Tamandua tetradactyla: one gene and its partners. The protein of the gene in region 1 binds, or shares a complex with, the protein of each later gene. Links are inferred from orthologs where the notes say so. Each region holds a gene or a part of one and is shown on either strand. Other genes may lie near its edges.

Region 1 (7,032 bases):
TCCACCTCCTATTTTCTTAGGCATCCTTGCTCTATTGACACCCCCTCTCCTGCGCCTTTAACCTTCCTCTGCCCATCAGTACTCTTAAAGTGCTCTTGTCTCTACTACACCATGCCCCCCTCCTGCCCCTGCCCAAATCCAAAGGACAAAGCTACACAAACACATCCACAACTCCTTCTAAGGACTTCCTTGTTATTTACTCCAAAGAACACTGCTCTGTCTTTATCTGACTTGATTTTTTTGCCAGCGTTTGAAATCAATTACCCCATCCTGCTGGAAACTCTATTTTTCCTTGGCTTCTGGAAAGACATAGCTCCCATCTCTCTAATAGTTTCATCTAAATTTCCATGGACTCTCCTTCCTCTGCCTGGTTTTTGAAAATTGGACTTCTGCAGGGTTTTGCCTCAGGTTCTCTTTTTCTTTCATTCTATACAATCTTTGGGTGATTTTCACTATTCCCATAACTTCCATTATCTCCATTGGCAAAAGGCTTTCAAATGTGTATTTCCAGCTCAGGCCTCTCCCCTAAATTTCAGATCCATGCATTCAACAGTTTTCAGAACAACTCCATCTGGGTGTCCCACTGACATTTAAACTCAGTGGGTTCCAAAGTGAATTTATAATCTCTTCTGAATCTATTTTCTGTTCTTTCGTTATCCTTCACATTATATAGAACCAATACCCATCGAATACATTGCCCTAGCCAGAAACCTGGTTGTCATCCCTGGACCTCTTCCTCAGTCTCCCCTTTTAATCAGACACCAAGTCCTGTTGATTCTACTTCCAGAAGTAGTTCTCCAAATCCATTCACCTCTCTCCTTCCCTCTGCGACTCACTTCATCTAAGCCAGTGTCATCTTTCATATGTATCACTGTAATAGCATTCTAAAGTATCCCCCTGCCTTCCATCTCAACAACTAGTCCCAGTTTCAGTAGTTTCTATGGCCCTCAGGATAAAATACATACTCCTTAGCTAGATATACAGTATTCTCTATAAACCCTCTAGGCTCCAGCCTGAGTGTTCATTACTCCTCTCTTAGGGAATTTGATACAGTCACACAAAAATATGTCACATTGAGTAAAAGTGCCATGGATTTAAACTTTGGGCTTTCACACATCCTGCCTCTCTGCTTGGGATTTTTTCTTTTTTACCTGTTCTGCCCCATTCACCCTTCTGGCTCTCTCTCATTTTTCTGATTTCAAATTAGATGTCACTTCCTCAGAAGGCCAACCTTGATTTCCAAGGCCATGTGCCCACAGCCCTACCAAGGTATTTTCCATTTTGTGCTGCAGTTCCTTGGTTACTTGCCTGTCTCCCATACTAACCTGTGAGCTCCATGAAGCAGAGACTGTGTCAGTTTTGTTCAATTCATGTCCCTGGCACCTAGCACAGTCTCTTGTTCAGTAAACATTTTTGAATGAAAGAATCTGAGTGTGTGTGTGAGTGTGTATAATAACGGAGCTGAGAAAGCATGTGTTATTTTGTGGCATAAATAAGTACTCAGACCACAGTTTATTTCAAGTTTCTTTCCCTTTTCGGGCTTGGAATAATTTACTTCTGCTTAATACTTTTACCTCTCCTGGAATACCCCTCTTTCCTTTTCTGCCTACTGAACTCCAACTTCAAAATTTGGCTCCTGGATTCCCTTCTCTGTGAAGTTAGTGGACTCTGTCAGGCTGTGGTAATTAGTTTTCTCTTTTGGGTACCCACAAGTCAGACCCTTTCATAGTACTTCCTATGCTAACTGTGCTATATCCACGGGCTTGTCTCTTCTCTATACTTGATTATGAACTGATGAGAGCCGAGACTGGGTCTAATTTTTCCTTGTGTCCCCAGAACCTAGCTCAGGGACTAGGATAGCAGATGTACACTAAACATTTAAGGAAAGGAGGAGTGCAAGAAGGGAAAAATGATGTACTTTGAGCTGGATCATCCAGAAAATGCTAAGGTGAGCTGATGGGAAGAGTGAAATTCATTTTGGTGGTGGTGGTGGTGGGGGGGACTGGGTGATTGGAAGCAGTCCGAAGGAGGTAGGAAGAGAGAAGGTGGTGGCACAAAGGGATGGAACCAGTCTCTGTGAGGATGAGCCCTAAGGAGAGACAAGCTATGCTAGGGGCTTGGAGGAACTTAGCGACATCACTTGGAAACAGAGAAAGAGAAGGTAGAGAGCTTTGAGAAGAACTCCAGCTTGGGAGGCAGAGAGGTTTGAGGATGAGTAAAATAGAGGCAGACAGCTCTGGGGAGCAGCCCCCAGGGTCCAGCCTAATCCAGGCATGAGGATGTCATTTGGGAAGGCTAGGGGGTGGGGTGGGGGACACAAGAAATAACTCAGCTTCCCATCAGGCCTTCCAGAGTGCTCTTCCCACAATCTTGTCCCCACCTTCCCCCCAATCTTTCCTTTCTTTCTTCTCTTCCCCTGTATGGCACTGTGGATGGGATGTACAAGAGAGACCTGGAAGGTTTGGCAAGAGAAGGTCCTTGCTTCTCCACTGTCTGTGTCAAGGAGGGGGATGTGTGTTGGGGAGGGGGCTGTGTTTTCAGAGAAGGTCTGTGAAGAGGCTGCGATGTGATGGAGTTGTAAGAACTGTGGGGCCCCATGTGTGAGAGAGGCCGTTTGGGGGCTGAGAGAGTGCTCTGAGGGGGACGGTGTGGGCGTCCGAGGAGGCAGTGTGGAGGCCGTGGGGGGCCGCTCTTAGAGTCCTGAGGTGCTGTGAGAAGGAGCTTGTGGGGGGGGGGGCTTAGGGAGACACCCACCTCGTGTCCCGGCTCCGCGGAGGCGAGGGGGGTCGCAGCTGTGGTTGCCAGTACTGCTGCTGTTGAGGAGGAGGCCCCCGGGACGGCACAGAGAAGCCCCCGGCCCGGGTCCGGGTCCCAGCACGCTCCGATTCAGCCTCGGTAGCTCCATGGCCCCCGCCGGGCCCGCCGCCTCCCTCAGCTGGGCCGGGCGGACTCCTGCAGCAGCTCCACCTGGGCGCGCGGCGATTCCGGCTCAGGCTCCCACCCCCGAAGCGCCCCCAACCCCGGCCCCGGCCCCTGCCCCTCCACTCCCACTCTGCGCGCCGCGCCGAGGCTCCCGCCCCTCCCCGGCTCGGGGCCGCATCTGTCCCCCCAGGTGACTCCTCTGCCCACCCCGTCCCGCCCCCACCCCCACCCCTGCGTGACTGTTCTCCGAGGCTCGACCCCCTCCCTAGATGTCTCCCGTCTCCTCTCACAGATTTCCTTCCCGCCAGCCTCCCCTCCCCTCCACCGCCCTGGGTTCTGGGGAATTCTTGGCTTTCGCTGGGGAGCGTGTGTGCTTGCGTGCGTGTGTGTGTGTGCGTGTGCGTGTGTTGTGTGTGTGTTGGCGGGAGGGAGAGTTAGAGGGGTGAGGGAGGGCGCGGCTGGCGCGGAGCGCTGCATCTCTCCCGGGTGGAGCAGGGACTTGGAGGTGTCGTCGGAGGCGGGGTCTGCTCGCAGGGGGCACCGGCCGCGGCGCGATGCCTCACCAGGTGCTCAGCGCCGCGGTTACCAGAAATTGTGCCGCAGTGGCCTCAGCCATCGCGGCACTGTCGCTGCCATCGTGCCCTGCAGCTCCTCGCGTGGGCCTGGGGTAACTGCTGCAGCTGCCCCGTACCCTCCGCCTTCTACCGCCCAACACCCAAAGAGTCTTCAGCAGCGGGCATGGTTGGGGGTGCAGGACAGTTGTCCCCAGGGGTCTCCTGACAGGGGAAAGTGCTGCCGGGAGCAAGAGTCTGCCTTGGCTGTCGGAGTCCGCCTGGGGTGGTGACACCTGCCCAGGATAAATGGGGGGTGGTGGGTGATTGTGAAACCTTGTGGCTAATGTTCCCTTTATCCAGGGTATGGACAGGTGAGAAAAACAAAACAAAACAAAACAAACATGTAACCCATAACAAAATCCGAAATATATTTACTAATTGTTGCACTGTGTTTTGAAATTTATTGCTTTTTTGTATATATGGTATTTTTTCACACACACACACAAGTCGATTGTGATGAAAAAAATACTCATTTCCTCTAATCCCTAATGTTCTGGAGCAACTAGAAGGAAAAATCTGAGATGGTATGGTTGCCCATGACAAACTCTGGGCTCTGTCCTGTAACTACTTGTTGAAGAGTCCTTTGAAAACTGTTGCTTTTTTCTTTCTTTGCTTTGTATCTACGTTATATTATACAATTTAAAAAGTTTAAAAAATAAGGACAAAAAATAAATAATGGGGGTGGACAGAAAGTAAAAAAAAAAATGGGTAGTTTGTGATATTAGTGATCAGGGAGAGGGATGGGTAAGGGGTATGGGATGTATTTATTTTTATTTTTATTTTTTTTTCAGGAGTGATGGAAATGCTGTAAAAATGATCACAGTGATGAATACATAACTATTGTGAGCCACTGATTGCATACTTTGGATGGACTGTATGGTACATGAAGATATCTCAATAAAATATTTTAAAAATAGCACTATCTTTTTTTAAAAAATTGATAAATTAGACTTCATCAAAATTTAAAACTTTTGTTCTGTGAAATACACTGTTAAAAGGATGAAAAGACAAGCTACTGTAATGGAGAGGCTGAGCCTACCTTAATTATGCCTAAGAGTCATCTCCAGAGGACCTCTTTTGTTGCTCAAGTGTGGTCTCTCTCTCACTAAGCCTGGCTCTGCAAGTAAACTCATTACTCTCTCCATGTGGGACATGACTTCCCGGGGCATAAGTCTCCTTCGCAACACGGGACATGACTCCTGGGGATGAGCCTGGCCCTGGCATCATGGGATTGACAATGACTACCTGACCAAAAGGGGGGAAAGAAATGTAGCAAAATAAGGTTTCAGTGGCCAAGAGATTTCAAATAGAGTTGAGAGATTACTCTGGAGGTTACTCTTATGCAAGCTTTAGCTAGATATTGAAAATTGCCACAGTATACCAAGCCCCAATCAATAGTATTCCTAAAAGCCCTAAAGAATACCCAGGGCTCTATCTGAGCCTCTATAAATGTTCACTCACTAAGTTTACCTTTCAGAAACCTAAAACTTTTCAGATTGTTCTTATGCCAGATAAGTCCTGAAACCCAGAGGTACCTGTCTCACCAAGAACCTCAACCAGTTGCATCTCCCTACTCCATAATATTGACACCCCTTTTTAACATGAAGAGTTAGAGTGGTCATTGCCCAAATATCCCTAAAGATTGGGAGAAGGATGAAAGGAGAAGCAGGAATTATAACAGAGAAGATAGGATTTAACAAATGAGTATGACTGCTGAATCATTGTATTGATATTTCTTTTTAGTCTCCAGTGTATTAGAGCAACGAGAAGGAAATAACCTGAAATTGTGACACTGTAACCTATACCATACTTTGAAATTTGTTTTATAACTACTTGTTCGATTGTACTCTGAAATTTATCAATATTTGCATATATGTTATATTTCACAATAAAAATATTGAAAAAAAAAAAGCAATGGGCATGGGGGTGGGTTGGGATATGGTTCCAACCTTCCGCGGTCTCCAGGCAGCACTCACCCCTACCCGACTCGCTGACGCTCCCTGTTTGCTCTCAGGGCAGGTGGACCTGCCTGTGTAGGGCAACAGGTTCCCACGAGAGGGGGCTGGAAGGGGGTTGGGACACTGGGGTGAATCAGGAACAAAGATGAATGGGGTGTGTGCAGGATCTGAGGTGGGTTCAGCTACTTGGAGCAGGACTTACTTCTCCTAATATTTCAGCCCAGGTGGCCGTCCACTCTCCTCTATTTCAAAGAAACTCTACAATGAACAGAAGTTGCATCCTCTGGCTATTCAGTAGTTGTAAGAGGTGGGGGCATCAGTCAAAGGGCGGATTAGAGTGGTGATGGGGTCTGGGTTTATGGGGAATTCAGAGTCTTTATCCAAGCGGTCGTGTAGGGAAAACTTGGTCCAGCCAGCTGCTCCCTCTTCCCTTCCTCCTGGCACTGCCTGCTTTGCCCAGTGAGAAAACCTGGACCGGGAGAGCTCGGCTTACTGTTTGTTCAGCTTCAGCCCAGGTGGGGCCACAGATAACCTACTGGATTTTTTTCCCACATTGGCTAGAAGGAGGGGGTGGGGTGGGAGAGCAAAGGGAATGTAGGGGAGAAAGGAGTGGAAATAGGAGAGGTAGACGGGCAGTCACTTATTCAGCAAACATGTGCCAGGTATAGGGCTGCACACTAGCTGTCTGATACAGTCTGTGCCTGAGTGGCTCCCAATGAGGTAGGCAGAGAATGACAGATGTGCCAAAGATTGCAATATATGGTCATAAATGCATCCACAAAGAGGCACAAATCAGAAATTTAGGAAAATTCCTTGATGCCTTGCTTTCTTTTCTTCCTGTAGCAGAGGCTGTTGTTCAAAGCCCAGACTCCCCTTCAAAAATGAAGGTTTATTCTCCAGCTGCTGGAAGGCTGCTGGCAGACAGCCCTTCAGGGTCCCCGTCCAGAGTTCCCTGAGCTGAAGAGAGCAGGTTCATCCAAGGTGATGTTTCTTTCCTGGGGTATTCTGTATCCAGTGACTGATCAACACAAAGGTATAAAGGTCCAGTCTCCTCTCCCCAGTGGAGGACAACTCTGAAAGACCTCCACAGTCCCAGAGCGCCTCAAGAGGTTGACTGAGGCCTTTGCTGGGGCCACATTACTGATCAGCTTCCTCCTTTGCCCAATTTGGATTAATTTCTTTCTCTTGCATAGATGTTGACTCCAACAGCACTCCTTAGCAAACATGCTACATGGTAATCTCTGTGTTATAGTCTGCATCCCAGAGAACCCAAGTGCTTCACTCCTATTTTCAGTCAGTCATGAAGTTCTGTTGATTTTATCTAAGTATTTGAATCAATCTGCTTCTCTCTCCCTGACATTACTCTATTGTCATCCTGCTCCCTTGCACTACTCTTCTAGGTTCCTAAACAGTCCACTGCATTTAACTGATGCCTCCTTACATCCATCCTCCACCCTATAACCAGTGATATTTTCACGATATAAAATCTGATTGTGCTACTCTTCTGCTGTTTGCTTTTGGGATAAAGAGAAAACCTT
Region 2 (7,011 bases), on another chromosome or scaffold:
CCAAGCAATGGGAATAGCAGGTGCAACAGCCCAGGGGCAAGAGAACTTCTGTATTTGTACCCTGAAGCTCTCTTGGACCCATCCGTGGGCCCTGCCTCTCCTTTCTTCTGTGAGGCTGCCCACATAAGCCCAACCCCAAAACAGAGACTTCCCTTGGGCTTTGGGTTCCTTTTCCCCTACGTGTCCAGCCCAAGGACCTGATTTCCACCTGAACTCAATCAAGCTGAACTGGTGGGGTGAGGGTATCCCCGGAGTACAGCAGCTTTCAGCTCCTCTGCTCCCCCCACCAAGCTATCTAATGAAAGTCCTCTCGCCAATGTGTACCATGTCTGCTTCTGCCCCAGTGACAATGAATGTACCCGCCCACTGGCCGGGCCACCCCGAGCGGGAGGGAGCCTGTATGCGGGTGGGGCAGCAGGCGTGGCTCTGGCTGGGAGGGAAGGCTGGCAAATGCCCAGCCCAAGTCCCGTTGCCCAGACAGAGTCTCTCCCGCTATGTGGGACAGGCGCCCAGCACTCTGAACCTGCCACAGCCAAGCTCCCACCACCACTATGTACCTGGAGGGAAAAAGGATGGGTCAGCCAGGACTGCTCCCCAGGCAACTGTGGCAGATTAAATCTTCAATTTCAGGAAGAGCTTGCTCTCCCAGCCCCTTGCAGTATATGCTCTGCAGGTCCTAACCCCTACTCACATCACCAACAGAAACCTCCCTGAAGCTCCTATTCTCTCCCAGCTGGGCCCTGGCACTCCTGTGGCCCTTCCCTGGCCAGCCCAGGAAGCCCATTTCAGAGAGGAAGAAAAGGCCAGAGAGGCAGGATGCTGGGATGGGCTCACCAAGCTAGAAAATGCTGACCGATACTGCACTCCTGGCTGCTGCCAGCTCAGTGTAGGAGGGGTTACTGGGCTCCACCTGGCCTGGCCCAAAAGCTGAGCCGAGCTCCAAGGGGCAATCCTGGCAGGACGGAGGGCCTTTCTAGGGCTGGGGCATAGAATAGGCCAGGAGCCCTGTGTCCCCACCTCTACTCTAGTCCCACATCTCCTTAGCCACCAGCTTAATCGACTGGGTAAGGGGATAGCTAGAGACCCCAAGCTGAGCACCGAGAGGCTGTAGGACCGGAAGTGCCCTCCCCAGGCCCAGCGGGCAGCAACAAGCATTCCGCCGCGTCGACACCCACTCATTGCCGCCGCCGCTCTTCGCAGCAGCAGAGACAGGAAGAGGCAAGCGCCCAACGCAAAGCAGCCCAGGAGGCTGGGCCGCCGCCCCTTCCCGCCCCTTCTCTTCCTCCCTGCGGCGGCGGCAGCAGAGCGGATGCCATTTTGAAACCTCTGGGGCTGCGCCCCTGAGGCCAGGCCCCTGGGGACAGTCAACAGATGGGCCCATGAATGGACAGTTATTTGCTGTCCCTCAGCCACAGGCCCAGCCTGCAAAGCTCTGCTTTTCACAACCTGAGGTCTCCACAGCAGCTCTGAGGCCGAGGGGCCACACCCCCACACACATATACTATTCAGCCTCTAACACTGTTGTGGGGGCCTCCCATAAAACCCCTTGAAATCCCCAAATCAGGCTTTCAAGCTTCCCCATGGGGAGCTGGTCCAGGATGTCCACCGGACCCCCCACCTTTGCAAAAGCCTAGCGCAGAGGCTCAGAGGCACCTGACTGACCCCCAGCTGGTCCCCCATACCCTCATGAAGCTGGTCCACCACTCCCCCACTAGGAGGGTCCCAGGATACTACAGCTCCATCCACTCCGAAGGCCTCAGACCAGCTCTTCAGGCCAGTTCCCAAGCCGTCAGCGGATCTCAGCCCGCCCGCAGGGGCGGCAATATGTCGGCTGTCTCACCACTTCCACTTCCCTCCACCATTTGAGCAGCCACCATCTTCCCGGGCCTTGGAAGTGGCCGCAACCCCCACTCCACCCCAACAACTCACCCCTGCCCCTCCCCCACACACCCTCCTACTGCCTGGGGGCTCACAGGAGTAGGTCTTGAAACTTAAAAAGGTAATGCAAGCGGAAACTCCCAGAGAAGCCTGAGTGGGGCTTCACTCCAGCCCCCTCCTGGGAGGTCTAACGAGCCTGCTACCTCACCCTAGCCCCTGGGCCCCTCCTCCTGGCCCGGCCCAATAGTGCAGGGGTAGGCGAACCTGGGGAAGGCCAGAGAGTGGGAGAGGGTGTGCACAGCGTTTTGGGGAGTGATGCCTGCAGAGGACCTGGGGGGCCGAAGTCAGGGAGCAGAGCGTCTACAGGTTCGGGGATTCCAGCTGGAGTGAGGGGTGCCCTATCGTGGGTTCTCACGCAGGAGATGTCTTAAAATCCGAGGTCACAGGTAGAAGATATAAAGTTCAGAGTATGGATGGGGCACAGGAGGGGAAGGAGGGAGTGGGGGGGGCCTGGGAGGGGCCCCAGGGATGCTCATGCCCAATAGGAATACGAGGGAGCAGGTGAGGGGAACAGGTGGAGACTGAACGTAAAGGCGAGGTAGGGTTCTGGGGCTTTGAGTAAAGTCTAAAGAAGGATGGAAAGACAAGATGGCAGCTTCTGAGGGTCTATAAGTTTGGTCGGCAAGGGATGGTCAAGCAGGGTTCTGGGTAGCTGGTGTTGGGGGCCTGGTGGCTGGGTTTGGGTGTTTGGAGTCTGGAATGATTTGGGATTCTTATCTAGAGCCTGGACTTCAGCTTAGGATTTCGGATCCTTATGTGACGGTCCGACTGGGGTTTCAGGCCAGGCTTGGGGGTCCAGACGCGGGCGGGAGCGAAGGGGAGGTCCGAAGCCCTTGTCTACGAGTTCGAAGTCCTTGTCTGGGAATCTGGCAGAACTGAGGGAGGGGGCGGGAGGGTAAGGGGGGAGGGGGGTATCTCAGCGCGGGGCGCGGCCTCACCCAGCAGCAGCAACTTCACCTCCCGCGCCGCCTTTTCGCCGTCCTCCCGCAGGTTCTTATCGATCATTTTGGAGCGCTCGGCCGCCGCCTTGTCCTCGGCGCTCACGGTGCAGCCCATCCCGCCGTCCGCCCGGCCCGGCCGCCGCCCGGCCCCCACACGGCCCCCGGCCCGGCTCGGCCCCGCCCGACCAACTCCGCTCCGGCCACCGGCCCTCTGCGGGCAGCTCTCGGGTCGACAGTTCCGAGCGTCTGCGGGCGGTGCCTTGCCCGCCGCCGTGCACCGACGGCGGGGCGGGCCAGGGGTGGGGCCCGAGCGAGCCAGGCCTGGGACTGGGCCGGGGCGGGTCCGGAGGCGGGCCCAGAAGAGATCCGAGGCCGGTGATTGGTTAGAGGGCGGAGCGGCGGATGAAGCTGGGCAGGGCCCAGCCTTGGGCCAGGGCTGGAGGCGGGGCCACGCCGAGAGTAGGCACTAGAGGTAGAGTAAACGCTCGGATTGGGCTCCGAGAGGGCTTCAGGCGGGGCCGGGCTTCGATTGGATGCGGAGCCAAGCGTCTGGAGCTCTGCGGCCCGACGGCGGCGGTGGGAGGTTCTGGTAGCCCGAGGCTAGGGGACCGCTGCACCTCCCGGGTGGAGCAGGAACCCGCCCTCTGAGCTTCCGCGAGTTAGGCGAGTGAGGTGGAAGAGGCGTGTCTTCGTCACAAGTTAACGAACCCCTTAAACTTGTGTCGGGATCTACCCAAACCCGGGAGCTCTTTAAGACTGCAGTTTTCTATCTTAAGGCAGGTTTGCCCTCTTCTCTCCCTGGGTTGCAGCAAAACAAAGAAAATGAAATCGATTGCCACCTCTACACTTTGGCCCAAGCTGTTTCCACCAGCGGGGGGTTATTCTTCTGCTCATCCAAGGCTTGTCCATCCTTTCCTGATCTGCTGGGAGATTTCCTCCTGCAGGCAGCCATCCTGGACTACAGGCTGGGAATGGGTAGCCAGGGCCCTGAGAAAAAGAGAAGAGAGACAGCTGCCACCCGCCTTCTCAAAACAGAAGTTGCTAGGATCTTATGACCTGTCCCCTCCAGGGCCTGTCCTCCACTGGTGGTAGCCACGACCTCAGCCTATTCTTCGTGGCCTTTCTCTCCACAGGTAGCTGCAACCCTGTAGCCTATTCACCAACCACCACAGGCAAAGCTGGGGTGGGAGCAGCAGCCTCAGTGCCTGAATGCTTTGGTCTTTCTGATCCTGGTACCCCGCAGGAGTCCACAGCCTTGGCCTGGCATTTGAAGGGGTCTGCCAAGGATTACCCAGAAAAGGATTCCATGTGGTCCTAGTTGCCATGAGCCCAGGAGGCCCCAGAAATAGGGAAAGTCCATGAAGTCAGGTGGGGAGCTTGTCCACCGGCAGACCCCTGTTCAGCACAGACCCCCCTCCACACATACCTTGTCCCGGTTTCCAGTCCCCAGGTTGGCTATCCACTCTCCCTGGATACCCCTATCTGAATGGCTCCCTTATTTGAAGGGCCATTGGCCTGTAGGCCCTCCAATGGTTTCCTCAGGCCCCCTCCTGCCTGGAACCCAAACTCCAGCAGGCCCTGCCACGGGCATCTTACAAACATAGCAGAAACCTGTAATGTCCATCCAGGAGACATGCCCTAATATAAGCCTGGACACAGACCCAGCCGGAGACACGCTCTATACATCCACATAGAGGTCCAGTCTCCAGCATGCCTCACATCTACAGAACACACTATAAAAATGGGAGTACGTGGCCAAGAACACAGCCTGTCCTCGGACAGACTACAAACCCAAGGCAGGCCTCTTCCCTGCCAGCCCCGCCCCGGCCTGAGAACTGATCCTCACTCCTCAGGCCTCCCCCGGTTGGCTCCTAGCAACAGCCGACAGCTCTTGCAGTTGCTGGGCAACAAGGAGAACCTGTCAGCCCCTTGGAGGCCCGGCTCTCCAGAGGTGGGCGAGACACAGACCCCAATCAATAGAGGCAGGGCAGGGCAGGGCTACTGGAAGGCATGGCGCCAGCAGCCTCAAACCAGGTCCTGTGGCTGTGCTGGTACACTGGATCTCCCTGCATCATTCCCACCAGCCAGCCACTTCCTTCCAGCCACATGCTCCTGTGAGAGAGTCCAGCACTCCCGTCCTTCCAACCTTCCAAAGGCTCCCTTTCTGTCTTCATCCCTGGGGATCTGCCCAGGCCTCCACTTGCCACTCCAGTTACACACATCCCACTCCAAGGGCTCAGGACCCCACACAGTCATCTCTAGACTGCCCTCTACTCTGATTGCCAGCCCCATGCCCACAACTCCTTGGAGGCTTCCCCCAGCCACCTACACACCTCAAGAGTACGTAATCCTGAACGGGGTACAACCTACCCCCACTGGCCCCTAGTCTGAGCATCCCACCATTTCATGGTCCCTCCCACCAGCCAGAACCATTAATTCCCCTTCCCCACCCCTACATTCTGTTAGCCCTTTCCCTTCCTCAATTCCACCTCAAACTTGTGGCAGTTCTGTGTCCCCACTGTCCCTCATTCTAGGCTTCCAGCCTCCTCCCTGGCTCCCTGTGTCCCCACTACAGCCCATTCTGCACACAGCAGCCAAGGGAATCCTACTGAATCAAATCACATCACTTTCTTGCTCACAAACCTTCTGTGGTTCTCCAGGGCTCTGAGGGTGAGATAAAGCCCATGCACACTGCTTTGGACAGTGCAGGAGGTGATAAAGTCATCATTGGCAGCAAGGACTCTGGGGAGGAGCCAAACTTGCTGGTTGCATGACTTTGAACAAATATTGGAATCTCCTTGTGCCTCAGTTTTCTTCTAAGTAGAACAGTTTGGTGACTGTGATACTTACCCACCGCACCGGCCAAGGTTAGGACTAAGGGAGGAAATGTAGGTAAAATGCTCAGACAAGGCTGACACATGGAAAGTCCTCAAAAGGAATGAGTTGTTATTATAGTGATTTCTGTAAGGCCCTGTAGGGGCTATCCTCACCCTCTGGTCCATGTCCTCTCCCTCCACTTGCAATACGCCAGCACTCCAGCCATCTGGTATGCCTTGCTTATCCCCCCTTCCCGCCCCTTCCCTCTCTTTATTAATCCCCCCAACCCCACCCTTTCCATCTTTCATTCCCTGGCTGTGCGGAAGGGCTCTTTGACTCCTACTGTCCTGGAGCATCCCCTTCCCCAGCCCAATCCCACGATGGGATGTCTTCCCCACCCAGGTCCCTGACTCCAGGTTCCTTGTAGCAAAATGCTGTTCCTTCAGGGTGGCAGGTCATATTTTTCAAATTAAATTAATGAATGACCCAAATCCTCCCCCACCCTTCCACGAGTTCTCCCACCCTGGAGCTGGGAGAGTTACCACTAGAAAAATATTCAGTATAGTTGTATATGCAGAAAAGGGAAAAACCAATCGTGCCTGGGAAGGTCAGGGAACCTTCTCAGCAGAGGTGATGTGGGGAGTGCTAGAGAGAAAAGCAATGTGGAAGGTAATTCCAGGAAAAGGGAGCAACACATGCAAAGGTAGGGAGGCAGGACTGAGAGGGTGGGTTTCGGGAAGGACCAGAGGGAAAATCAAGTCTCAGAACTGGAGAAATTCCTTACTTTGCAGTTGAGTCAACTGAAGCCCAGGAGAGGAAAATGATCTCCATCCTTGTTCACCCATCCTGATTCCTTAATAGCCCAGAATCCTGGGGAGACACTTTTTGGGATAGGGTGTGGCTGCTTGCCCAGGACCTCATGGGCTGCAAAGGAGGTGTGACTTGTCCTCATACATGCCAGCCCAGCACCACCTGCACTAGACTGAGAAGGGCAGTGACACATCATCCAGCAGAGCCAAGCATGGCACTCCAGCTGAAGTGGAAAAGTGGTAGCTGCTGGCTCACCCCAGAACAACCAGAACAGCCTTGGAGCTCACCACAGGCCACTGAGTGGGTCCAGATTGTTCTAAGTTCCTATTGTGCACAGGCCCTAAGCAGTGGAGGTACAGTGGTCCCCCACTGTACCCCCTCAGTGGACTGTGGCCCCACCCCCACCCCTCAGTACAGAGGTTCCAGGAAGAGGAAGCTGCCAGCACTTCCCCAAAGGCAGTTTCGGGTGGGTATTTATACCTGGCCTCTCCTGCCCAGAGTCCAG
Region 3 (7,400 bases), on another chromosome or scaffold:
TTATGTAAATAAATGCATTTCTATCCATGCCAAACAAATTCATTAAAATGGCATCATGCTTTGAAATAAAATTTACTTTAAAAAGTTTTATGCTGAAATTTCCATACATGGGTAATTCCTTAATTTAAATAAATTAGGTTTAAAATATTAGTAAATTTTTAAACTGTGAAAGGCCATAACCTTCTCCTAATAAGTACTATTTAAATGAATGAAGGAGTCAGAACACAAAGTTCACTCATCATCACCAGACATCAGGAGTAAAAGGAAGCCCTCCCTGCACCTCTCCTTGTTCCAGAAATCAACCATCATTTCCCTGCAAGGCCCAGAAAATCAGGAATTCACACACCCATACACATGAACAAATCTACATTTAGTGATAGTATGACTATATATATAGTGTAAGTATTGCAGCAGTTGTCACCAAAGCAACATATTTAGAACATGAAGCTGTAGCAATTCTTACATGATGTCTTCGAATCACGTTTCTGATAGCAAGCTGTATAATTTTTAAATCTAACTAATGCAAGTGGGCTCTAAATTAATATATTTTTCTACCACTTCTAACAGGCCATATTTGAGGAAAGCAGGAGACTGTATGAAACCCTTCTCAAATATCTAATAGGAAAAAAAAGTTATCCATACTACCACCACCATAGCAGTAAACCTGTTTTTCTTTAATTCTTATTCCTTGGCAAATTATCTCCAAGTTAATTTTTAAAGCACAGTTGGTTATTTAAATAAACAGTATGTAACTGACCATCCATATGTGTTCATTTCCCCTGAAGTCTTCCTTCTAGCCATTCAAACCTAGACCCTTTGACAAAACCCCCAGGTCTCTAACCCTCAGCTGCTGCAAAACCCAAGGCTGCCACATTTCAGGCAACAGGGCTGCCTTGAAAGACCTCAAACACCCCATTTACAGCCAAACAAAAGCAAATAAAACTGTAAACAGACAAAATACAAAGAAAAACAATTCTTTAAACAAATCACACTAAAACACTTTTTTTCCCTTAATGATGCACTTAAGCACTATAAAGTCCTCTTGCTCCCTCTATTTTCTCCTCATCTTGGGAATTCAGACCATTTTCAGCCATTAGAAGTAACCCAAATGAGAGGATCAAAAAAAGAAGAAAAAAAATCTACATCTTCCACCCCGGCTTCATTGCCTTAAGCCTACCTCTTTCAACCAGTGCTTTGCCTTCTGTTTTTAATACACACGTACTCATTTATCTAATTGGGTTTCAAATGAAGACAAAAAGCCATGGCACGTGAATTAACCATTGATAATTATATGTGATCATTATACTTTGTTCCTTCTTGCAAATGATCCAGGACATAAGCAGTTCTGTCCCAAAGGCAATTGTTTCCTTTAACCAGGAGATACAGCTCAAGATAAGAAAGAAAATGCCTGCTTCTCAAACCCTCACTGACGATACAATTTTCTTTTCTTACAGAAAATATTTGAGAAACGTATGTATTATACACACAAGTATGCAGAACACAAGTGGAAGCATTTCTCAGGCCTGTAACTGCAAAGCTGTTTGCTCTTCCTTCCACAATACCTCAGAAGTATGACAGGGTGGCTTGTATGTGAACCCTGATGACTTGATTCTGAACATTCTCTCAGAGATAATAATCAATAGAATTCCTCTTTGAGAAATGGCATTTTCTCGCTAACTTAATGTTAAAGCAGAATGGTCAGTTCTTTTTTCAAAGATTAAAGAGAAATTTTTGCCCTATGCTTCCCATTTTCCCTTCCAACCCAGATTTCAAAGATATTAAAATTGCTGTCCGTTTTCAACAAACAAAAGGTTGTTCTTTGCTTCCATGAGAATAACTGGGAGGCTGCACTGGTTTTCAGCAGTAACTATTGTGAATTCAGGCCTACATTTGGGTTTGCCTTATTAAACAAAAGATATCCATCGCTGTCAACAACCACACAGTACAACGCTCCCTTATCCTTCATCTTTATCCGGAAGGAATGGTGCAGACAAGAAAGGCGCTTGTCACCATCTGATGGCCAAGAAACTCTTCTGGGGTCTCCCCATTCTGTGGCCTGGTGGCTAGAGAACAATTCAACCTTTGGGCTTGCCCCACCCCCCACCCGACCCCTAGCCAATACATCAGCCCTCTTTCTTTAGCTGGCCCACTGCTGGGCTCCCTCAACATCACTCCTTGGAGAATCCAGTCGCGCGTCTGCCCACCACTCCACCATTCAGTTCTGACCCCGGCATACGCTGGTAATAGAAACACAGACCATCCCACCGCACTCCATCTCTCAGAGTGTCCTGAATCCGCTCGCCACCCTCGGGGTCTCACACATGCAGCTCCTCACTTCACCACCCAAGGAGAACCAAGGCCACGACACTGGAAGTTCAATCCCTCTGCCCACCTTCCCACCCCCGCGCTCCGCCGGGAAGTGATTTTCCACTAAACAAATGCACAGCAGTCAAACCCGCACCCCGAATGCACAGCCCTCGGGGATACGAAAAGGCACACGCCGAGACACCGGGCAGGGCAGCCCTGACCCATGCCCGTGCGTGCGTGTGTGTGTGTGTGCATGTGCGCGTGTGTGGTGTGTGTGTGTGTGTGTGTGTGTGTGTCTGTGGGCACGCGCACGCGCACCCGCTCAGGGTGCGGGTGCGGGTTTTGGCCGGGGGCGCGCCGCGGGCGCCCAGGGGCGGGGGCCGAAGAAAGCAGCTGCCCCGACAGGCCGGGGGCGGCGGACCCGGGGCGCGAGGCCCCAGGTGGAGAGCACCGGGCGGTTGACCCCGAGCCGTACTCACCGAGCAGCAACAGCTTGAGCTCCCGGCGGGCGTCCCGCTTGTCCCTGCGGAGCTGCCGCTCGATCTCGTCGTTGATCCGCCGGGCTTCCTTGGCCTCCTCGCTCAGGCAGCACGCCATGATGGACTCCAGAGTCATTCTTCCAAAGTGCCTCCGCTGCAGCCCCGCCGGCACCCCCTGCTCACACGCACGCACACACACCCTCCCGCCCTCGCCCCCCCGAGACAGCGGTGGCCGCCGAGCCCCCGCCGCCCGGGCGCGCGTCCGGGACGAGCTCGGGGAGCCTCCGCGGAAGCCGCGGCCAGGGCCGGGGCCACCAGGTGGGCCGGGGGCGCGGCGGGAGCTGGCAGCCCGGATCGGCCGCCTCGGCCGCGGGAGGAGCGAGGCGGGCGCGGGAGGCGGTCGCAGGCACTGGCTCGGGGGGCGCGCGAGGGAAGGCCGCCGCGCCCGGCCTCGCTCAGACGCCCGCGCCTCCTTCCCCGGGAACCGGCAACCCGCCTCGCCCCCCGAGCAGCCGAAGGTCCTCTAAGCCCTGCACCCGGCGGCTAGAGCTCATCCACCGGGGCGTCCCCGCAGCGAGCGGCCGCCGACGGCTCCCTTCGCCCAGCACGCCCGCTCCTCGCCGCCGCCTGACACGGCTCCCGGGCGCCCTCGGCCCTGCCCGCGCCCACCGCCCGGCTCGCGCGCAAACACCGCTCGCCGGCCCGCCCGACCGCCGCGCACTCCGCCTCCGCCAGACGCCCAGCCCCGGCCCCGATTGCCAGGCGCGGAGCGGCTGCTCAGTGCTCGCCCTCCCCCTCGCCACACACACACATTTTCTTCTTTCTCTGAACTGGAGCACAGATCCGGGAGGGAGGCGGCAGTAGGAGGAGGCGGAGGGGGAGGGAGTGAGGGAGGGAGGGAATGGACGCGGGAGGAGGGGAGTCGGGAGGCGGTGCCGCCCGGCCCCTCTTGGAAGGCTTTCCTGGGCTCGCTGCCGCCGCGACGCGCCTCCCAGTGCGGCTCTCGCCTCGCCCGCGCCGCTCCCCGCGCCGGGCCGGCCCCCTCGGGCTCTGCGGTCGCCTTCCGCTCCCGCGCCCTCGGCGGGGCCCGCGGGCGCAGCGGTTCCGGCCGCCCAGAGCGGAGGTTGGGGCGGGGACCCGGTCGCCCGCGCTCGCCGACGCGCCGCCCCAACGGGTATCCGCTGCTGCGGCTCGGGCGGCCGCCGACCTGCAGCTGCCCGGCTGGCCGCCCGGGCGTGGTAAAGCGGGAATATGGCTGCCTCTGGCTGCCTTTCGGCCCACCAGCCTGGGTACGCGGCCTCAGCCCCTCCTGGAAGTGGCAGGATTTAGACCCGCGAACTCACTGAACAGGCTGGCGCCGCGGACACCCTGCCTGGCTACCCCGCGGGCGGCGGAGGCGCTCGCGCCCACGGCTCTCAGGCAGCGTCTTTCTGCTCGGCGGAGCAGCTCTTCAACCACATATGCATTCTTTCCCGTTCCTAAACGTTCTAAAACGCCATTCGGTTAGAAAATATCTCGCGTCACCTCTGACCCGAGTTCAGTCTTAGAAAATAAGATACTCTTGATTGTGGGGTGGAGAAGAGAAGGAATTGTCACTGGCTCCCAGAGGGGTTAAGGAGATCATTAATAGGCGAAACCGTCCACAAAGTCACTGCAGATACAAATCTAAATCCAGAGCCGAGAAAATGAAGCTGCCCAAGAGTTTCCTGATGGCCTCCAACTTTTCATGCAATTGAGGTTGTTTCTGGCTTTTATATTTTACAAGTTCTCCTTTTGTTTTGAAAAGGCTCAGGATGTGTAACAGCCAAGTAATCAAACTTACTTTATTCCCCTAGACAGAGGTTCTATTGCGCGTGCATTCTATGCACATTGAATAAATGAAAAGGAAAGAATAAAATAGAAAATGGGGAAACAAACACCGACCCAGCAAAATCCCATTCTAGGTTATTTTTTTCCCACTTTTGATTAAGGCACTTGAAAATGTCGTTTGCATCTTTCGTTGTGATACACTACCGATAAATGGCAGCAAGAACAAAATCTCCTTGCTGAAGCGTTTAGTTCTAGTGGCTACAAGAGATGACACCTATATTACTTCCAGCTGTGATGGAACCTGACATCTTGAGAGTAAACTACATCTTAGGAAGGGAATGTCTTTTTCAAATTTCATATTTTCTCTGAGATGTTTCTGGTGGAACTTGCTCATCCAGAGTGTAAAGTTTTGACTGTGCTAGTGCCGCAAGTCAAGAATGCACATAGGGTTTTTGGATGATAGGTATGTGATTTCCTTCCTTCATTTGCTACAGCCCATCCCTTGTCCCCTTCTCTCTCTTTCTCAGCGAGGACTCAGATCAAACAAGTCATAAAGATATAAGATCTGATATTGTAGGTTCCCTTCATAAAAAGATATTCAGCCTAGAAAATGATTAATGTTCACCATGGCCAGGAGAGCAGAGAAGACAAACCTCACACCTTTTATGTGAAAGCTTACAACTTGATATGAAATTAACATTTTAAATTAGGTGACTAATGAAATTAAAGATTAAAATTTAACATGCAAAAGTTTAGAATACCTCTGGGGGAAACTTAACTATGAGTTTGCATCCTCTAAAATATGTATATACACAAGTTTCAGAGAGACAGAAAAACAAATGACAGGAGGCCTCAATTCTCTGGTTTCCTACCCATGGATCCATGTGAGGCTTTTGAAAATGTCTCTCAAACTGTGCTATCAAGCTATCAGGCAATCCATTTAGACTGAATTGATCTATTTGATTAAAAGAATTAAACTTGTAACAGATTGTAGAATCAAAGTCTGTTTTGTCACCCCTATATCCCCACTCCCTGGCACCCAATAAATATTGGAATGGATACAAAAAATCAATAAAAACATATTTTTTCATATGTTGGGAAGAAATCAGGAAATAAGGTATACAATACTCTGTAGGGATGGAGCCATATATGGATGGCAAGAAGAAAGTAAGACAAGAAAATTCTATGTACTAACCCAGACCTACCCAGAAACCTTTATATGTATATATGGGAAGCATTCATCAAGCAAGCATTGATAAGACCTACATCAAACAAACAAAATTCATGCAGGAACTACTCAAGTTGTTGATCGTGTTCTAGACATTTAAAAATATGCAACTAACCAAGTACCTTAGTTTCCCAGCTGCTACGACAAATACCACACAATGAATTGGCTTAAAAACAGGACTTTATTGGTTCTCAGTTTCAGTTGGTAGCATTCTGGCTGGCAGGCAATCGTGAGTCCCTTGGTTTTCCTATCACATGTTGATGTCCTCTCCTCTCCCTTCCCAGTTCTGTTGACTGACTTCCAGCTTCCAGCTCCTATGTTTGAATTTCTTCAGTCTATAGAGTATTCCGGTAATCCAGTTTAAGACCCAGCCTCATTCAGTTGAGCCACACCTTAACCAAAAAGAACATCTTCAAGATGTTCTATTCATTGTGGATGCACACCCACAGGAAGGCGGATTAAGACCAAGCACATGTCTAAATCCGGGTACACAGGGCAGTGCAACAGTGGCTCAGTGGCAGAATTCTTGCCTGCCATGTCAGAGACCCGGGTTTGATTCCAGGAGCCTGCCATGCTAAAAAAAAAAGAAAAAAAATGTAATCAAATTAATCCGGGGTACGTAACTCAAGCTACCACACCATATTACAAAATTACAAAATATTGCAAAATTCCAGGTTGCTGAGTCAACAAACTAACTCAGTGCCGACTATTTAGAAATAACCAAGGTGAAGGTGCAGGAAGAGAGACTATGATGAATAAAATGCTGCTCTGGCCCTCTAGAGGCTTATGGTCTCAAGGTATAATGAGACTCTGAATTACTACAATAAAATCAATTTGTATTAAGGTAGGGGTAGAAGTAACAATACAAATGTATAAAAAAAGAAAAAACATTCATTCTGTGTAGAACTCAAGATAACTACAGGAAATGTGGCATTTGAGAATAAACAGGGTTTCAATAAATATATATCTACACCCCCATAACAACCAATCAGCAACTCACCCCAAACAGACAGTGAGATAATAAACCATTTTAAGAATGCAAGGGCAAGTACTAGATGGCTGAAAAGCAAAGTACAAAAACCCTGGGAGCATTGAAATTCAGAGGCAACTCTACAAAAATGTGAAGACTGTCACGTCTTCTGTGGTATCCTGAGACAGATACCTAGCCCACAATTTCTTTTGGGTACTGGGGGGGGGAAACAACGGTAAAAACGTCGTTTGATATCTCAAGGAGTGTTCCTGGAAGCAAAAAGGGAAAAGCCCTTTCTTGTAAAAGGAAGGAAAAGCCGATAGAATAATCCATGACTCTCTGACAATGTATGGCATGTCCCACAACACTGTAATGTAATTGCATCTCTCCCCCAGAAGATTAGGTGCTGCCTGAGAGCAGAGCCCTTGTCTGTCGTAACTGTTTTCAGGGCACCTAAAAAATTGCCTAGCCTAAAACTGACACTCAGTAAATGCTGAATAAATAAGAGAGTGCCATCAACTATATTAACGACAAACACGCTTGCAAATGGCCAGGTGCCTGAGGCATCCACAGCCCTTAAAGGCTTAATAGTCTATTTGGGCAGTCA
Region 4 (6,962 bases), on another chromosome or scaffold:
ACATCAGTACAAGCAAAAAGTATTTGTAAAATTAATTTTCCATCGCTCTTTTATGTAAATTAGATGCTCTTCATCAATGTAAGTGTAATTTTCTAAAACAAAGCTATCAAAAGCCAGCATTTATGTCAGGAATATTAATTCCTTTTTTTTTTTGAAATTTATGTCAGGAATATTAATTTCTTTTTTTGAAATTTGTGGCAGTAATTCAATCTGCAAACAAAGTTTGGCTTTGAATTTTTTCCATTATGGTAAAACACATAAAACATGAAATTTACCATTTGAATCATTGTAATCACAATTTAATGGCATTAATTCGCAATGTTGTGCAACCATCGCACATTTTGTTCCCAATATTTTTCATCACCCAAACAAACTCCATACCCATTAAGCAATAACTTCCTTTTCCTTGTCTCCACAGCCCTGGTAACCTCTCATCTACTTTCTGTCCCTGCGAATTTGCCTACATATATAACTGGAATCTTCATATAACTAGAATCATACAATATGTCCTTTTGTGTCTGGCTTATTTCACTTAGCCTAATGTTTTCAAGGTTCATCCATGTCAGAGGGGTCTCAGCACTTCATCGCTTGTTATGGCCCAGTAATATCCCACTGCGTGGATGAAACATATTTTATTTCTCCATTCATCTGCTGAGGACACTTGGTTTATTCCCACTTTTTGGCTGTTGTGAATAACGCTGCTGTGAACTTTGGCATATAAACACCTGTTTGAGTCTCTGCTGGATGTGATTTTGCATTTTATGTGAGATGAGAGATGTCCCACGAGCACTCGGTCAATAATGGAAATAGTGGAAGGTGTTACTAAGATACGGGAGGCAAAAAAATTCCAAGGTGGAGGCCAGGCAGTGAGCCAGGAGGCAGGAGAAGCAAAACATGGATAGACCCGGGAAGAGCTGGTGTGAGGTCCACGTGGAGGAGAGGCATGAACTCCAGACGGGTACAGGACATACGGAAGGAGCAAGGAAACGGGGAGAATATTCTGGAAGTCAGCAGGAAGCAACAGCATGGAGAGGGTGCCAGTAGGCTGTGATAAGGAAATTCTAATAATGAGACCAGACCCTTCCTTAGAGTTCAGCACGTATCAGACACCATGCGAAATGCTAGAGCATCCTATTTAACCTCACCATGGCCCTCCATGGTAGGTGTTAAGTATTATCCCCACTTTACAGGTAAGGAAACTGAGACCTAGAGAGTCGAAACTAGAGAGTCGAAGTGACTTGTCTTAGGTTGCAAGTGCCAGAGCTGGGGACTCCAAAGCCTCCTTGCCCAGTCCTTTCACATATACAAATGTCCTCCCTGCACACAGCCTCGTGGACAGCCCCAGGGACCCATCCCGCGGATTCTGATCTGATAGGACTGAGGGGCAGCCTGGGCCTTGGACAATTAGAATTGCCAAGTGGTCCTTGGGTTGAGAGCCACTGCTTCAAAGTCACAAGTAGGCATCAGAAGAGAAGGGGAGCTGGGTGGGTCAGGGAGAGAGGGCAGAGGCAGGAGTGGGGGGGTCCTCTGCTCTCTCTCACGTGCAGCCAGACCAGCTGCCTTGCCTGACGTGTGAGGGGGGCCCCCCAGCTCAGCCTGAGGGCTGCACACGAGGCTGTCCTACCTTATCACTCACACCACAGAACGTATAAGCCCACTTCCCCCTGTCCAGCGCCCGACATGGACACCGTGTCCGCGCAATCACCTCCCAGGTGTCACTGTTTGTCCCCGGCCAGTCCACCACTCCCTCTGAGGCCCTGGTTGCCTAGGGCAGTGTGACCGAGTCCTCACCAGCCTCTCCCTCTTCCGCTATCAATAACCAATTAGGAAGCTGAGCACCGCGTCCCTGACAGCAGTTTGCAGGCAGTAGATAGTGACCCGTTTCCCAAAGCTCGGCCCTGGCAGGCAGGAGTGTGGTCAGCTGTGCCAAGTCCCTATTGGAGACTCTCCCCACCAGAGAGGGTTCTCCCCTCCACAGGGCACCCTCCGCTGTTAGGGCATTTGTTTTTTGGGTACCTCTCTTCTCCCAGAATCTAAATTCCGTGAAAGCTATGGAAAGGCTGGTGGTTTTCACCTCTTGCCCATGGGGTCTCCTTCCTAGTGAGGCCGAGGTCCCACTTTCTGGATGTGTGAACTCAGGGCGGGGGTTGATTCCTGCCTGAGCCTCAGTTTCTTCATCGGCGGGAAGGGGACACACCAGTACTTATGTCCTAGGATTGTGAAGAAGAGCAGCCGGGCCCAGTGGCACACAGCACTGTCATTGTGATGGCAGGGGCAGGGTCCATAAGCAAGGATGGGGGTCCAGGGCCTGGGTTCTAGTCCTCAGCTCATTAGGCTCAGACACTGAATTTTCTGGGTATTGGAGTCAGCGTTGGAGCCAGGATGCGAACTCTGGCCCTGGGGTTCTTGACCCCCTGCATGCTAGTAAGTGCCGGTCTCAGGGCTGGCCTCCACTGGCCCCAGCCCTGCCGCCTCCTCCAGGGCTGATTCAGGGTGGGGTCCCTCTGCCTTGAGGCCATGGGATTTGGAGTCGCAGAGCGATGCTTTTTAGGGAACTACCCTCCTTTAAGCTCTGGGGGGAGAGAAGCTCCTCTGCATATGCCAACAGCGTGCACAGGCCTTGTCACATTTCTCCTTCACTGCAGCCCTGCAAGGTAGGAATGAACGACTCCCATTTCATACCTGAGACTGACTGAGGCCCAGAGGGGCTAAGGGGGAGGGAGGATCCTAACCAAATCAGATCCCTCCCTCCTGAGCACCGTGCCTCTTCTGGGCATCACCTTCACGGGCCCCTCCAGGTTATCTCCCTCAATTCCTGGAGGAGAAAACTGCTCAGAGATGGGGACAGACTTGCCCAAAACTCAAAAGCTAGAAAAGGGCAGAGCCTTGCCTTTCCCATCAGCGTCCCCAGGCGAGGAGAACTTGCAGCTCCCGGGACAGTGAGCTCCTTGTGGGGAGCGCGGCCTTTCTCATCCCCAGTGTGCCTCCACCCCCTGCCCTGCTCAGCTCCCAGAACCTGAATGCAGCACCCCCAGCCCCCATCCCCCCAGCTCCCGAGCGGAAGGACACACTTGGATTTGGTGAAATCGCCAGGCCTCGTGCAAACAGCCTGAGGAAAATCAGCCAGGGAAGGCATAACCCTTCCAAGGGCCAGAATAGAGAGTTTCGGGCTCTGATACCACCAGGGTCCGGCTGAAGGCTGGTCATTTATCATCACCATGGCAACATGAGTATCTCTAGTCCCCCAGGATGGGAGCGGAGCTGCTGCCCACCCCACCCTGCCCTTCCATCTCTGAGCATCAGAGACACAGCTATTTACGGCCAATCCCTGCACTGCTTTTGTCATTTTCATTTATTCCATCTGCTAAGTATACAGTCCTGCTATGAATTAGAGCGGCCAGAACATTTGGCCACTGGTTGCCTGGGACACCCCCCAGCCTGCATCACCACTGCCCCTTACCAGGGTCCCAGGGGCACCAAACCTACCCCAGACAAGGGGGGCCCCGATGACGCATGCACGAGAACTGAATCTCCAGTACCAACTGCAGAAAAATAAAAAACAGCTAAGAGCTAGTTACATCCGCTCAAACCGAGTTGAGGCAGCAGTTTATCAAATAAATCAGCAAGCATACCATTGCATTTTCTGGAAGGTCTTTGACACAACTTTCTGTTTGCGAGCCATTTTAAGATGAATTTTCATTTTGGAAAGTTGTGACTGCATTAGGCAGGAGACTATCTCCCCTGGGCAGCAAGGTGAGGAGGCTGGCAAGGCAGGACCCTCAAGGAATTGGCTCAGGGTACAGAGTTCGAGGGAGGTGGGGCGTGGGGTGGGGGGAGCCAGAAGCTAAATCCAAGCCAGCCCAGAAAGGCATAAGGAGAAGGGAGAGGCCGGGAGTTTTCCAGGGTTAGAGGAGGGGGCAGAGCCTTCCGAGGCAACCAGGACACGACAGCAGGGCCATCAGCCCATGGCCCATTGCCCCTGATAACCACGACACGTCCTGTTTGCAGAGCCCGGCAGAGGAGACAGGGGATCGATACATCACCCCACATTCACGCACTCCCTGCTCTTCAAACACCAGCGTCTGGTGAAATGTGCCTTCTTCAAATCTAAGATCATTCGGTCCATCTGCCTCCCCTGCCCGGCGATGGGACGCAGTACAAGGGATGGTCCCCAGAGACCAGCACCTCCTACCTGCCCTCACATCCCACTGAAAAGCAATCCCCCTCCCCACTCCTGCCCTTACCCCATGAAGTCAGCACCCCTTCTCTACCCCCACATCCTGGACAATTGAGTGACACTAAATGGCAGGGTGGGGCAGAGGTGATGGGCTGTACTTCTGCCCCACCCCCATCCCTCCTTCTGCCAGGTGGGGAGCCTCCCATGCCTCCTTCTGCCAGGGGGGGAGCCTGGCTTCATAGGGAGGAGGCCTTGGGAGGGAGCTTGGGGGCTTTATAAAGCCGGCCTGGGGCAGCTGATGGAGCAGAGTGCTGCGAGCCACCGGGTTTGGCACTGCACCCGTGCCCATCTCTCCAGATCTGCAGGTGAGAAAACCCAGGAGGAGAGGGAGATGCCGGGAAGAGGGCTGACAGGTCCTCCGTCCACCTCCATGCAAGGGGTCAGGCCCCCGGCCAGAGCAGAGACCAGGGCTCAGCCCTTGTGTCTCTGAGAGGGGACCCCCCCCCCCGCTTAGCCCACGGTAGAAGCAGCCCAGGCCCACCTGCCCTGGGCCCTGACCCTCTCGCCCAGGCTCACTCCAAACCTGGAGATGGGGAGGACAAAGGCTTCTCTCCCCGCTCTCAGATGAGAAAGTTGAGGCCCACAGGGGAGCTGTGACTGACCGAAGTCACTCAAATGAGGGGCAGATCTGGGCCTGGAATCCACAGCTCCTGGGACCCAACTCAAGCTCTTTCCCAGACCAGCCCTATCTAAAAGCTCTTTTCTAGACCAGCCATTTCCACAACGATAGAAACGTAAATCTGTGCCGTTCACTCCAGTAGCCACTGGCCACATCCACGCTAGAAATGTGGCTGGTGTGCTGATTAAATGAACTTTTAATTTTCATTAATTGAAATTTCTAGAGCATGTGTGGCTGGTGATGCTTTCCAACTTTGTTTCTTTAGCTGCAGAACTCGTTTTCTTTCACAGGAAATCTAACAGACACCCCACCACCGCCACCACATTAAGAAAAACAGATAAAAGCAGTGTTTTATTAGTACAAATGTATTCTTATGAGGTCAAAGTTATATCATCTACTTAAGATAACAGTAACACATCAGAACAATGAGGTGCAAGCAATAACATTTGAATTTTATATTTGTTGGCGCATCCAGTTTATTTCTCTACATGGTTTCCCCAAACTTGCCTCACCCTGATAAACAGTTGCAAATGCTGACAGTTTGAGGTTTTTTTAAACAGCTTAATTGAGATCACAGGTTATTGCTCAGTTGAGTAAAAATAGCAGGAGAGCCTTCCCTCCAAGAACTGCCCCAAAACGGTAGGTTGCCGCCCCACGAGTAAACAGGTGGGTGGGCTCCATGGTGTTTCCAGGTGTATATAATGTAGCTGAGGGTGTGTGTTCCTTTGGCATTATGATTTACAAATTTGCTTTAAGTTCCAAGACTCCAACATTTACAGAGCCGCCGACAGGGCCTCGAGCTCTACAGAACAGTTTGGAGCCGTTGCTCTAGGTTTTTAATTCCTCCAGAAGAAGCTGTTGCTGTGCTTGGGGAGATGGGCAGGCAAGGTGCAAGGCTGGGGGGCCTGAATAGAGCTGGAAGGAACTGCAGAAATGGAGCCCACGGTCTATGGGGAGATTCGCAGAGTCCTTCTGGTCCAGCCCCCTGCCTCCAGACCTGCCTGGGGACAGCCCCATCTTTAAGCTCGGCCCATCTCCCCTTTGCAGACAAGATGCAGCAACTGTTCGCATACGTGCTCATCTCTGCGCTGGCGCTGGCCGCCTTCTCGGACGCGTCTTGGAAGCCCCCCTTCCAGCTGCAGAACGAGCCCGTGGGCCCACTGGCCAGCAAGGGCCTGGAGCCTCCCCAGTCCCACCACCTGGGCCTGATCTCTCCCCACCGAAGGCAGCTGGGGCTCCAGGACCCCCCACACATCGTGGCAGGTAGGAGTTGCCAATGGCCATCCCCACTTTTCTAATCCAGCCAGGTTCCGGCCAAGTTCCACCCACCGGCCGGGAAGCCAAGTGCCCCTGCTCACCACCACCTCCTCTCCTGTGCACCCCCAGCACCCCTTGACGCTTCCCTCTTGTCCCGCTCCTCAGACCTGTCCAAGAAGCAAGGGCCGTGGCTGGAGGAAGAGGAGGAGGCGTACGGCTGGATGGACTTCGGTCGCCGCAGTGCTGAGGAGGGCGCTGAGCGCCCTTAGAACCACGTTTCGGCCCCAGCCCCACCCTGTCCTGTGAAAAGCAAATCCGAATAAACTCGCTTCTGATGGTGCACCTGGAGTCAAGTGTAGTGGGGCCGGGGAGGGGGCCTTGGTGGGGGGCAGAGCTGGGGCAGGGAGGCCCCCCCAGGATAACTCCTCTCTGCCTCCCCAGACCCCAGCTCTGAGCAAGAATCTGCACATGTGGGTGGGAAAATGGGATTGCAGCCAGAGCAAGCTTTTGAAAGACGAAGCAAATCATTGGCAGCTTAAACCATCCAATGCTTCCCATCGCACTTAGGATAAAATACCAAAGCCCTAAAGAGCTGTCTCCCTCTCTCCCCTCTTCTGTGCCACTCCCTTCCTCTCCTCTCTTCCTTTTTGTTACACAGACACTCCATGTTCTTTCCCGCTCAGGACCTCTGTCCTTGCTGTTCCCTGGGCCTGGAATGTCCTTCCTTGGGCACAGTGCATGGCTGGTGCCTTTTTCTCTCTGGGGTTTTAGTTGAAATGCTTTCTCCTCAGGGACCCACTCTTCACATGAACACCCCATTATTCTCTATCACGACATCCTGCTTTCTTA

The links.
Region 2: the proteins of CCKBR (region 1) and GNAI2 are in contact, whole or in part, in a cryo-EM structure (PDB 7F8V), measured with the Homo sapiens proteins. The link is inferred for Tamandua tetradactyla from reciprocal best matches to the Homo sapiens genes CCKBR and GNAI2. Residues at the interface, in NP_795344.1 of Homo sapiens: Thr87, Thr89, Arg152, Ala155, Ile156, Pro159, Leu160, Ala162, Arg163, Val164, Thr167, Ser169, Ile241, Gly248, Leu249, Lys328, Val331, Leu335, His394, Arg396; in NP_002061.1 of Homo sapiens: Glu28, Ala31, Arg32, Glu33, Val34, Lys193, Leu195, Thr220, Phe337, Thr341, Asp342, Ile344, Ile345, Asn348, Leu349, Lys350, Asp351, Cys352, Gly353, Leu354, Phe355.
Region 3: the proteins of CCKBR (region 1) and GNAQ are in contact, whole or in part, in a cryo-EM structure (PDB 7F8W), measured with the Homo sapiens proteins. The link is inferred for Tamandua tetradactyla from reciprocal best matches to the Homo sapiens genes CCKBR and GNAQ. Residues at the interface, in NP_795344.1 of Homo sapiens: Thr87, Val88, Thr89, Asn90, Glu151, Arg152, Ala155, Ile156, Pro159, Leu160, Ala162, Arg163, Val164, Trp165, Gln166, Thr167, Ile241, Leu245, Gly248, Leu249, Val331, Leu335, His394, Arg396, Phe397; in NP_002063.2 of Homo sapiens: Arg30, Arg34, Asp35, Arg37, Arg38, Leu40, Ser198, Val199, Phe341, Lys345, Asp346, Ile348, Leu349, Gln350, Asn352, Leu353, Lys354, Glu355, Tyr356, Asn357, Leu358, Val359.
Region 4: the proteins of CCKBR (region 1) and GAST are in contact, whole or in part, in a cryo-EM structure (PDB 7XOW), measured with the Homo sapiens proteins. The link is inferred for Tamandua tetradactyla from reciprocal best matches to the Homo sapiens genes CCKBR and GAST. Residues at the interface, in NP_795344.1 of Homo sapiens: Cys107, Pro114, Asn115, Gly118, Thr119, Phe120, Met134, Gly135, Val138, Tyr189, Gln204, Cys205, His207, Leu222, Val349, Tyr350, Ala352, Asn353, Arg356, Pro361, Ala363, His364, Leu367, Ser368, Ile372, His376, Tyr380; in NP_000796.1 of Homo sapiens: Glu85, Ala86, Tyr87, Gly88, Trp89, Met90, Asp91, Phe92.

Annotation. Positions count from the first base shown.
Region 1 is NC_135334.1:79,677,815-79,684,846, reverse strand, and holds the start of CCKBR (gastrin/cholecystokinin type B receptor), read right to left. Parts: upstream 3,007-7,032; 5' UTR 2,906-3,006; coding exon 2,755-2,905; intron 1-2,754. UniProt on the Homo sapiens protein: Receptor for gastrin and cholecystokinin. The CCK-B receptors occur throughout the central nervous system where they modulate anxiety, analgesia, arousal, and neuroleptic activity.
Region 2 is NC_135341.1:35,847,419-35,854,429, forward strand, and holds the start of GNAI2 (guanine nucleotide-binding protein G(i) subunit alpha-2), read right to left. Parts: upstream 3,012-7,011; 5' UTR 2,995-3,011; coding exon 2,877-2,994; intron 1-2,876. UniProt on the Homo sapiens protein: Guanine nucleotide-binding proteins (G proteins) are involved as modulators or transducers in various transmembrane signaling systems.
Region 3 is NC_135328.1:108,702,347-108,709,746, forward strand, and holds the start of GNAQ (guanine nucleotide-binding protein G(q) subunit alpha), read right to left. Parts: upstream 3,002-7,400; 5' UTR 2,923-3,001; coding exon 2,787-2,922; intron 1-2,786.
Region 4 is NC_135332.1:25,473,224-25,480,185, reverse strand, and holds GAST (gastrin), read left to right. Parts: upstream 1-4,409; 5' UTR 4,410-4,475; coding exon 4,476-4,542; intron 4,543-5,903; coding exon 5,904-6,119; intron 6,120-6,278; coding exon 6,279-6,382; 3' UTR 6,383-6,448; downstream 6,449-6,962. UniProt on the Homo sapiens protein: Gastrin stimulates the stomach mucosa to produce and secrete hydrochloric acid and the pancreas to secrete its digestive enzymes. It also stimulates smooth muscle contraction and increases blood circulation and water secretion in the stomach and intestine.